2 linked regions of the Caenorhabditis elegans genome follow. The protein of the gene in region 1 interacts with the protein of each later gene in a pairwise test. Each region holds a gene or a part of one and is shown in the gene's direction. Other genes may lie near its edges.

Region 1 (4,007 bases):
TATATCTTTTTGCAAAAGATATAGAGATAAATGCATGCTCGACAGTATAATTCTTATATTCAACGTTTCTGGACGACGTGGGAATTTTCCCATGCTACTGATGAAGTCTGAAGTGCATAGAAGAAATAGCACGAGTGACCTTTTGCTTTCTGGACATTATTGCATGCAAACTACTACTTTTTGCTTACTTCACACTATTTCGACACTACTATTATTGGTTTTCTCAATCATCAAATGTGTTTTCAAAGAATTTTGAAACATATCCAGATAGAAACTGTAAAAAGGTCTAATGCTCTTTAAGAACTGCCGTTTTAAAATGATCAAAGTTTACTTTTTGAAGTAAATTCTGAAAACGCCTCGCGATATCGTGTAATTTGATCGTTTGTTCATTATATTTTTTATTAAGAAAACTCCCCATCACCTCCTATTTCATCCTTCTCGGAGTTTTCTTAGAAGAAAAAGAAAATGGAAAAAGCGTGTGAATGTTTCTATTAGATGACAGGAGATCCATTTTTTACATCCTTCAATTTTTGCAACAAGATTCCACTTCAAAGAATGAAATGTTTCATTAATAAGTGCAGTTTCAAAAGATCAAAATAATACCAGCCGGTTAGTTGTTGCATTTGCTATTTTTACAAAACAAGAACACTAAGTATATATCGAAACGTGCAAGTACTTTTCATTGGTTTAATCCGGTGAGTGGGGCGTTTTCGTGTTTTGTTTAACTCATGACTCATAAAGGTTATTCAGGATAAACTATTCCTAATTACCTATAATAGATGTACATGTAAATGCTTTTCCATGTTTGGAGTTTATCGTGCTTGATCTAGAAAATAACAATTTTTTGAAATAACTCTGTCTGAGTTCCTAAAAAGTTTAATTTATACTTTCGGGAAAAATACGAAGTGGTTTACCTTTTATCATCAAAAATGTCCCAGTTTCTAATAAATGGATATCATCTCTTCTTTTCCCATTGTAAATTTTCCAGCTCACCGACATTTGCATAATGCAATTATGTCATACTGAGCGGTTATTGTTGTTTTATTATCTTATCGTGGATTCATTCTCTCCTTACTTGCTCACTTCATTTTTATAAATCTGTCTCGTTGCAGCTGCTCTATAAGATACAACAACGGGATATTCTTCTATCTCTTGCTCGTTGTGTTGCGTGTTCTGTTTGTTTCCTCATTGCTTCCTTAGAATGTTCATTCAATGGCTCATTAGATGTGTGCCAACCTTTAAGAAATGCCAGCTGATTGTGCATTCGTTCCGCTACACAACATGTACTTAGACATGTGTCGTCTATCTCTCCCTATCTTATAACATTTTCTTTATCTCCTTATCTCCTTCTGTTTAAAAGTCCAACTATCATTTGGAGTTTGGTGTCAAAACCAGCAGAAACAGATGATAGAAAAATATTTTGTTTCCGTGCCAATAGTCATTGATAGTTTAAAATATTTCTTTCCTGTGATATAGTTTTCCCTTTTCTGCGTTCTCTCGTTATTGTCTACACTCTCATTTAACTCATAGTCGATGTTTCAGATGGCTGATCGCAACTCTATTGGCGAAAATGCTGCCGCGCTTATTGGCAACACACCCATGGTGTACATCAATAAATTGACAAAAGGACTTCCAGGGACAGTTGGTTGGTTTATTCATTTGAATTAAACGAAATCTTAAAAAATGTTTTGAACAATACTGGTGAAACTTTGAATTTTTTTGTTTCTTTTATGCAATACCACTGTAACCGAGTTTTGTAACTTCTCAACAAAATATAACTTTGACAAATAGTCTCACTTAAAAGAAAGTACGAAAAATAGTAAAACCAGAACGTAGATAAAATTGAATTTTACAAATCAAAAATGTTTTGAATTTTCAAGAAGAAACAAAAGTCCAATTATCCTATTATAATTTTCAAGTTTACAGCTGTAAAAATCGAATACATGAATCCAGCGGGATCGGTCAAAGATCGTATTGGAGCGGCAATGCTTGCAGCGGCCGAAAAAGATGGAACGGTGCTTCATCAACAATACCATTGTTCAAAAAATTGCATTAAAATTTTTTAAGGTGATCCCGGGAGTGACCACGCTCATTGAGCCAACATCAGGAAACACTGGAATCGCATTGGCTTTTGTTGCTGCCGCCAAGGGGTATAGATGTATTGTCACAATGCCAGCATCTATGAGTGGAGAACGCGTGAGTATTGATCTTATGGATGCAAATCTTCACCCCAGGAATTGCCAGTACTGAAACCTTTTTTTTTAGCTATTGAGTACAGTTGTGTCATCTGTGATTTTAAACAAATCTCCGGGTTGAAAATTTTTTAACATATAAAATATATATCTTACAGAGAACTCTTCTCAAAGCATATGGATCCGAGGTGGTCTTGACAGACCCAGCGAAAGGAATGAAAGGAGCGATTGACATGGCTAACCAGCTGAAGGAAAACATTCCAGGGTCTATCATTCTTGCTCAATTTGACAACCCAAATAATCCACTTGTTCACTATCAAACAACTGGACCAGAAATTTGGAGACAAACCAAAGGGACAGTAGACGCTGTTGTTTTTGGGGTTGGAACTGGTGGAACAATTACCGGAGTTGGCAGATACTTGCAAGAGCAGAATCCAGGTGTCCGCGTGTTTGCTGTGGAGCCAGAAGAATCCGCTATACTCAGCGGCAGACCAGCCGGTCCACACAAAATTCAAGGCATTGGAGCAGGGTTTGCTCCAGCTGTTTTGGACACAAAGATCTATGAAGACGTAATTCGAATTCATTCCGATGAGGCTATTGTCATGGCTCAAAGACTTTCCTATGAAGAAGGTCTTCTTGGCGGTAGGTTGTGTGACTGTGTTTGCTTTGATAGTTTGAAAGAAGTATGTTTTTAAAATTCTATATTTTAGGAATTTCCTCCGGAGCTAATGTTGCAGCTGCACTTCAGTTGGCTGCTCGCCCAGAAATGGCTGGAAAGCTCATTGTGACTTGTTTGCCAAGCTGTGGAGAACGATACATGTAAGATGACTGACTTAAAATGTTACTTGTGATGTGAGCTAGTAGTTTGCATCTGATTCCTCGGATGTTGAGTATTTCTGATAGAAAGTTAAACAACTATTGAATCTTTAACGTAGTAATCATGTACAATTTACTGTGATTGATCTTAAAAACCATTTTTCCAGGACCTCTCCTTTGTACACCGACATCCGCGAAAGCGCTATGGCTCTGGCAGTCGAAAGCTTGGAGGCAAACTTGAAGAAGTTATGTCTTCACAACTATGATATTATGGAGTGATTTAAATCAAAAATTCATCTCACTTTTTTCTTTTTTCTTTCATTTAAATTCTTTCACCCAAAAATTATCAAGGTTGTTACTCACTAAAAATGATAAATCGGCTGGTAATTCAATCAAAAAACCTACACATTATAATAATTTGCATTCTTTCGTATTTTTTCCATGTAAATGTTCCGCTGTCTATTTTTTCAATAAATGCAATTAGTGTTTTGTACTGTGATCTAAGATAGCTTGTATGCTTTGAACCCGCAGACACTAAGATTGGTGTTGAACTGACGAAACTGGGAGGATAACCGACTTTTTTAAAAACAATTAAACCATTAGCACAGTGAGGCATGAAATAGGCTTGTCGATGTCTCATGAAAAGGTCAGTGCAGATAGAAACACTGACCCTAATAAGGAGGAATGAAACCTGGTTTGGCTAATCGCCAGAAAAATTCTTTCACCGATAGTGGTGGCCAACGAGACAAACGCTGCATGTGGTTTCAAGCGAGAAGTTCAATTTAATTAGTAGTATGGATATTTAACGCGATCTTTATCAAATCGGAAAACTATACCACGGAGGTCTGGTTTGATGGTTTCACTATGAAATTATTTGAGCGGAAAGTTCACAGTTTTCTAGCTGACTCCTTTGAACATGTTCAGTTGAATTGACATAAACTTAAATGGTTCACGTACCCATCTTTTTGGAAAAGAGTAATGGAAAAGTTCTAGTAGCAT
Region 2 (6,879 bases), on another chromosome or scaffold:
GTATTCGTTTAAAAATTTGTGAAAAAATTGAAAATTGGTTTTAAAAAATTTGAAGTTTAAATATTTCAAGTCCAGAAAATCCAATGCGAGAAAAAACCTCAAAATTTTTTTAAAAATTCCAAAAATTATATAAAAAATTATTTTAAAGCTTTCAAAAATTCAATAAAAATTCCAAACAAATTCCACTAATCTGAAAAAAGGATAAAATCTATTGGGGTCCTAAGCCTAAGTTTGAGCCTAAGTCTAAGTGTAAGGCTACGACTAAGCCTAAGCCCAAGCTGTAGCTTACGTCTAAGCCTAATTTTTAAATGTTTCAATTTCGAATTTTCAAATTTTCCAGCTCTCAAGAAGACCTTCCAACAATCCAACGCCAAGAAAGCCTTCAAAAAGCTCTCAGAGCACTTTGTAATGGTTAACACCGAAGACGACGACGAGCCATTCGAGGAGGAGTACCGTCCAGACGGAAAGTACATTCCACGTCTGCTTTTCCTCGACAAAAATGGAGATCTTCTTCAAGAATTCAAAAATAAGAAGGCCGAATACAAAAATTACGCGTATTACTACTCATCACCAGCTGATATCCTTAACTCTATGAAGGATGTGCTTAAACATTTTGGAGTTGACATTCCAGAGGCTAAGAGAGGTGATAAGCTTAAGCCAAAGAAGCCAGAGGGAAAGAAGAAGGAATTGTAAGAATAGAGATTGTTTTATTGATTTATTGATTGATTTTCAGCTAATTTATTTCTTATCATTTCTTTGCCAATCTTGTTAACTATTATTAATTATTATCACGAATAAACTGGTTCTCGATACGTCGGTTTTTACGAAAAATTTAAATTCGCGCCAAAAACCTTTTCGAAACCTCGAAAAAATTTTAAAAATCTTATGAAAATTGCATTTTGTGCCTGAAAATTTTTAGCCAATTTTTTAGAAAAAAAAAAAGTTTTAGGAAAATCTGTGACATTTTGAAAAATTCAGGAAAGTTTGAAATTCCAGCCAAAAAACTTTTGAAAACTAATTTTTTGAAAAAACTAATTTTTTGAAATTTTTGAATTTTGCATTCATTTGAAATTGACTTAGGCATAGGCTTAGGTCTAGGCTTAGGCTTAGTCTCAGGCTTAGGCTCAGGCCTACGCTTAGACGTAGGCTTAGGCTTTGGTTTAGGCTCAGGCTTTTTTCGGTGATTTTAGAAAATCTGAAAAGCTTTTTGAAGTTTAAATCTGAACAAAATTTTTTTTGTTTGAAAAAATTTATAATTTCATGAATTTTTGAATTTTGCTCTCGATAATTGTTTAATTTAAAAAAATTCAAAAAAAATTTGAATTTTGCCACAAAATAGGAGATTTAAAATACACCGCCCACATATTGGTTCAAATCTAAATCAAGGCTTTCATGGGAGGCAGGCGCGGTTTCAGGGCCTGACGCCTGTCTGCCCGCCTGCCTTCCGCCGCGGCCGACACTTTTCGGGTTCCGCACTATACAGAAGGCCCGAGGCAGGTGAAGGTCGCCGCAAGGTAGGCACACCAGGCCTTTTGGCGCCTACATGGAAGGATTAATCAAAACCAGTTTCCTAAGGGATTAAGAAACTTTCTCTCCTTCCCTATATTTGAGTAGTTATGTAAACATCCTCATATTCAGAATATGTCACGTCTCTTCTCCAATGTTCCGAATTATTTTCCTCTTATACATCGTCGGGTCATTTCTCTACCAGCAATATGAATTCGCAGTTTGAATTTCGAAATTTAGTTCTAAATTCCCAATTTCTTTGGATTTTTCTAATAAATCTTATCACCTCTGCCAATTCTGAAGCCCTAGCTTCTCCTTATCAGTATCTGAAGGATCTTTGCCCTGTTGGACAGCTTCCACTAACGGATACGGAGCACGTGAAGACGTGTGCAAGCTTATGTCCTCTTGGAGCATTTTGTCATAGGGGTATATGTTGTGTACCGCCACCGCAGTGCAGGCATCCGGCTTATAGGTGAGGAAATTTTTTTTTGAATTTTGTGTTAAACTTCGCAGATTATATATTGTTTTTTGAAAACAAATAATTTTATTTTACCGCCAAATTGTTTTTAAATGTTTTCAAATATTTAAAATTGGCGCCAATTTTTTTTGAAGTTTTTGGAATATTTAAGTTTGGCGCCAAAATTGTTTTGCAATTTTTAAATAATTTAATTTGACGTCACAATGTTTTAAAATTTTTAAAATATTTAAATCTGGCGCCACTTTTTAAAATTTTTTTTAAATATTTAAAATTGGCGCCAAATTTGTTTTGCAAGTTTTTAAATATTTAAATTTGGCGCCAACTTTTTTTGTTGATATTTTTGAATTATTTAAAATTGGCGCAAAAATTGTTCTGAAATTTTTTTAATATTTAAAATTGGCGCTAAATTTTTTTTGCAATTTCTAAAAAATTAAATTTAGCACCATTTTTTGAAATTTCTTTTAATATTTAAATTGGGCGCCAATTATTTTTGTTGATATTTTTGAAATATCTAAATTTGGCGAAAATTGAAATTTTAAAATTTCTGTCAAAATTATCAAAAAAAAAAATTATATCAAAAAAATTAAAACTTGAAGCTTGCCCCAACTATTTTAAAGATTCAAAAACTGAAAGTCGCGCCAAAGTTGCTAAAAATCTGAAATTTTGAATTTCGCGCCAAAAATATTTGAACTCAAACTTCAGGATGTCTACCGGCTTTCCATGTCTTCCAAAACGTAAGAATAACTGCCCAGATGGATCATTTTGTGTATCAAGTAGTCAGGATGGAATGTCGATATGCTGCTCAAACAGGAGCATTGAAAAGTTGGTGATTTTAAGCTCCGCCCACTTCTTGGTTTTCTGGGAGAAGAAGACCATTCTAAAATAAAAACTATAACTACAAATAAAATAAATCCATATTTTTACAGAAGTTTCCCGATAACATCACAATTAAAACTCTCCAAATCTGCACCGTTCCCAAAGGAAAAGCCGATGCAAAAATCCACGTCATCACTGATGACGTCACTAGACTCCTCCCAAATCTGTCCGAAATCCCATCCAATTATTGCACATGATGGGAAATCTCTGGTTTTGTGCAAGGATTGTGTTCAGGGGTTAGTTTTGGACTGCGTTTTAAAAATTAAAAAATTTATTTTTAAACGAAAATGTTACCTAAACTCGAAATTTACAATTTTTGCACCAAAAAACTGGAGAAAAATTTTTAGTGCCCAAAAAAATTATTTTTGAACATTTCAAATTTTTTTAGATTTTTCAGAAAGTTCACATAATATTGAAGATTTTGATTTTGTAAATTTGAACAAAAGCATAAAACTGTTTGTATCACAAATTAAATTTTTTTAACATTTGAACATTTTGGGTCCCACCACGATAAGTTTCAGAACCGATATTTTCCTGGAAACTGTTATAGAAAAAAAGTAAAAATTCAGATTTATTTCGGGGTACCCCGAATTCAAACAAAATATCATAATATGAAAAAAATTTTTAAATCAAACGTTAAATAATATTTCGAATTTTTGGGTCCCACCACAAAAGCTTTTTTGCCGAAAATTTTGTGAAAAAAATTGGCAAAATTGTATGTATGATGCTTTAAATTTAACATTTCAACTAATTTAAAAAAATTAAATTCGAAAATTTTTTTTTCAAATTCTATATTTTCAGAGTTTGCGCAAAATTCCGCACCAGTAACGTAGAGGTATGCTGTCAAAGTTCTGACGATATTTGTGGTGTTGGAAGTCAAATTTTGATGAATGGATTGGTGCCGAGGGACTGTAACAAGAAGCCATGTGGGATGGGGTAAGTGAATTTTACAGCTCAAGCCATGCTCTTAAAATAGCCAGGAGCTAATTTTTTTTGCTCGAAACTTTCCGAAAAACATCTAAAACTTGGAATCAATTTTTTGATTTTTTGAAAATTAAAGTTGAAATTTCACAAAAATTTTTAAACATTTTCAGAACTTCTAAACTAAAATTGCACCGCAAATTTCAAATTTCCAGCTACGAATGTTCGCTAACCCCGACGGGTCTTCGTGTATGTTGTTCGTTAGCCCAATGCCCGTCAGGAGTGTTTGCGAGAAGTGTGTGCGCAGCCGGATGTTTGAGAAATGAAAAGTGCATGGAAATTCAGAATGAGATGTGGTGTTGTCCATCCGAGGAATCATTCGGTTCAAGAATTGAGATGGTTTGTAGGAATGGGGAGAATGGGTAAGTTACTACATTGTACTGTAGTACTGTATACTGTATAGTGTACTGTTGGGGTACTGTAGCTCAGTTTCCGTTTGTCAAAAATTATCAAAAAATTTAATTCAGTGTTTATCATCCAGAAAATAGCCTTAATATACCGAGTATAACTGTAGAAAAATTTATGGAATTTCTCTAAATTTTTCTAAATTTTTAACGATTTTTTTTCAATTTTGCAAAAATATTTGATTTATAACACTAAAAACTATTCAAATGCCAGAAAATGGAGCCGTAATGACCAAATATATCTGGAAAATTTTTAAATAAATTTTCTAATTTTTTAAAATGATTTTTCGTCAATTTTTAAAAAATCTAAGAAACGGCCGAATTAAATTTGAATTCCCGCGCAAACCATATATTTCGGCCGTTTTTTAAATTGTTGAATAATTGAAAAATCATTTTAACAAATTCGAAATTTTTTTATTAGGTGCTTCTATTGAATTTTTCTACAGTTACATTCGGTATATTGAAACTATTTTATGTCATTTAGAGCAAAAAAAACTTCCAAAAATTTTATTTCCTCGAGTTTTTTTAAAATTTCAAATGTACTTGATTGTCTAGATTACTGTAGAAATGCTTATGACTCAATTACAAAAAAATCCCAGTATTGATTCTTATTCCAGAACCGGTGAAAAATGTGACCCAGCTTTTCCGGCGTGCTCACAAGGAGCATTTTGTGAGCTGAACAAGGAGAAGACCGCCCATATTTGCTGTAAGCGGTATAAAAATCGACGTGAGTATTTTATTGCTTAAACCTATAAAAACTAAAATTCAAGAAAAAAAAAAATTTCAGTCGGCAACAGCCGTAAAACCCTTCTACCCCCTCCATTCTACTACACTACAACTACTATGAAGGCTCCCATAACCATAGCCACAACTACTGCAGAACCATACCCTTTTGAATCTGTGTAGGTTGCTTAATTAAAGGCAAAGTAGCGCCAGAGGGGAAAGTGTTTAAAACTACTCCATTGGTGTCAAAATGATCGAATATCATTTTAAAAAATTTCAAAAAATTTTTGAAATTTTTTTATTTATTATCAAAAAGTGACAATTACTCAGTTTTTGCCACTCATAATTTTGGAAGTCAACCAAAAAAAAATTTTTTTCTACATTTTTTATACTGTAATTTTTTTTTAATTATTTGTATTAAAAAATTGTAGGGGTTGGAACATGCGAAATTGCTTTGGATTTCCTCAAAGGCTCATATTTTTCAAAATGTTTGCAATTTTCCAAAACTGACCGGGAATAATGAAAAATCTAAAAATTTTTGGACTGTTTGTTAATGATATTTGGTCATTTGAAATAATTTTAAGTGTATTTAGACACAATCCCCACTGGCGTTACTTTACTTTTAAACCATCAAAGGTATCTTAATCATATCTTAATATTTATTACAGTCCAAACTGCCAAGACCCTGAAGCCCGTCCACTCATGGAAAACGGCTTCCCATACATTTGTGATCATATCGGAGATCCGTGTATTCTTCGATCAGGATATTCGTGTCAAGAATCTGATATTGATGATGTCTATGTGTGTTGTACTATTCAAATGAACCGAATCCTTCCACCACAGATTCCAATGATTGGGCCATTTACGTTTATGACGTCATCAACTACTACAACTACTGAGAAGCCGATTGAAGAGGAAGAAGTGATTGCGCAGCCGACATGCCCATTTTCATATATGCCGTCGAAAAATGTTAATCAAGATGTGCAGCGTTGTCTATCACTGTTTACGTTGGAGTGAGTTCCAGAAAAATAAAAAATAAAAAATTTTTTTCGATTGTTTTTTGAAACTCTAAAAATCAGTATTATCTTATTATCTTTATCCAATTTTTTAAAATTTTTTTTTAAATCGGAATTAAAAAAATTCTAACATACATATATTGTTGAAAACGTTTAACGTTCAAAAATCGATATTTTAAAATAATTCCAGCTGCCCACTCGGCTACACGTGTCTACCATCTTCCACTACCGACAGTTATCTATGTTGTATTCGGAAGCCTGTGGTCTATTAGGCTTAATTATTGATTTTTGTTTTTTTTTTCGAATATTTGTGCCAATTCTATATTTTTTAAATATTTTTTTAGCTAATGAACATGTTTTCAAACAGTTTAATTTAAAAACAGCCTAATACAAAAACTTGGAAAACTAAGCCTAAGCCTAAGCCTAACCCTAAGCCTAAGCCTACACCTAAGACTACACCTAAGCCTAAGCCTAAGCCTATGCCCAAGTCTAAGACTAAGCCTAAGCCTAAGCCTAGGCCTAGGATAATGAGAGCATTTTCAGACTGCTCTATAAAGCCAAACAAAGATTTTGCAATAATTCATAACGCATTCGATTCACAATAACAAGTTCTTTAATAAAACTATAAAAATGTAAAAAGTTAGGAGTCAAATTTTTATTTATTTAACACTGAAAAATTGGAGTGTGTAGATAATGAGAGCATTTTCAGACTATGTTTTTTCAGAGCTGACGCCAAGCTTATGCCTAAGCCCAAGCCTACGCCTAAGCAAAAGCCATAATTCTGAAAATCTAAATTCAAATGTTAGCATCCAAGTCTGGGCTCAACGGTCCAAGCCTGAAAGCTTAAAAACCTAAAGCCTGAATATTTTTGCAAACATAAGTAAACTGAATTGAA

Evidence for each region. Proteins that work in one complex are often made in the same cells at the same time.
Region 2: the proteins of cysl-1 (region 1) and Y57A10A.24 interact in a two-hybrid assay, tested with the Caenorhabditis elegans proteins (one large-scale study listed by BioGRID).

What each region holds. Positions count from the first base shown.
Region 1 is NC_003284.9:9,952,069-9,956,075, reverse strand, and holds cysl-1 (Cysteine synthase 1), read left to right. Parts: upstream 1-1,542; coding exon 1,543-1,645; intron 1,646-1,926; coding exon 1,927-2,015; intron 2,016-2,067; coding exon 2,068-2,196; intron 2,197-2,350; coding exon 2,351-2,834; intron 2,835-2,902; coding exon 2,903-3,011; intron 3,012-3,175; coding exon 3,176-3,287; 3' UTR 3,288-3,497; downstream 3,498-4,007.
Region 2 is NC_003280.10:12,241,280-12,248,158, forward strand, and holds Y57A10A.24 (EB domain-containing protein), read left to right. Parts: upstream 1-1,666; 5' UTR 1,667-1,715; coding exon 1,716-1,978; intron 1,979-2,686; coding exon 2,687-2,806; intron 2,807-2,910; coding exon 2,911-3,096; intron 3,097-3,661; coding exon 3,662-3,796; intron 3,797-3,996; coding exon 3,997-4,203; intron 4,204-4,862; coding exon 4,863-4,972; intron 4,973-5,032; coding exon 5,033-5,147; intron 5,148-5,636; coding exon 5,637-5,981; intron 5,982-6,174; coding exon 6,175-6,256; 3' UTR 6,257-6,350; downstream 6,351-6,879. Other genes in the region: txdc-12.1 (Thioredoxin domain-containing protein), read left to right, coding at 341-693.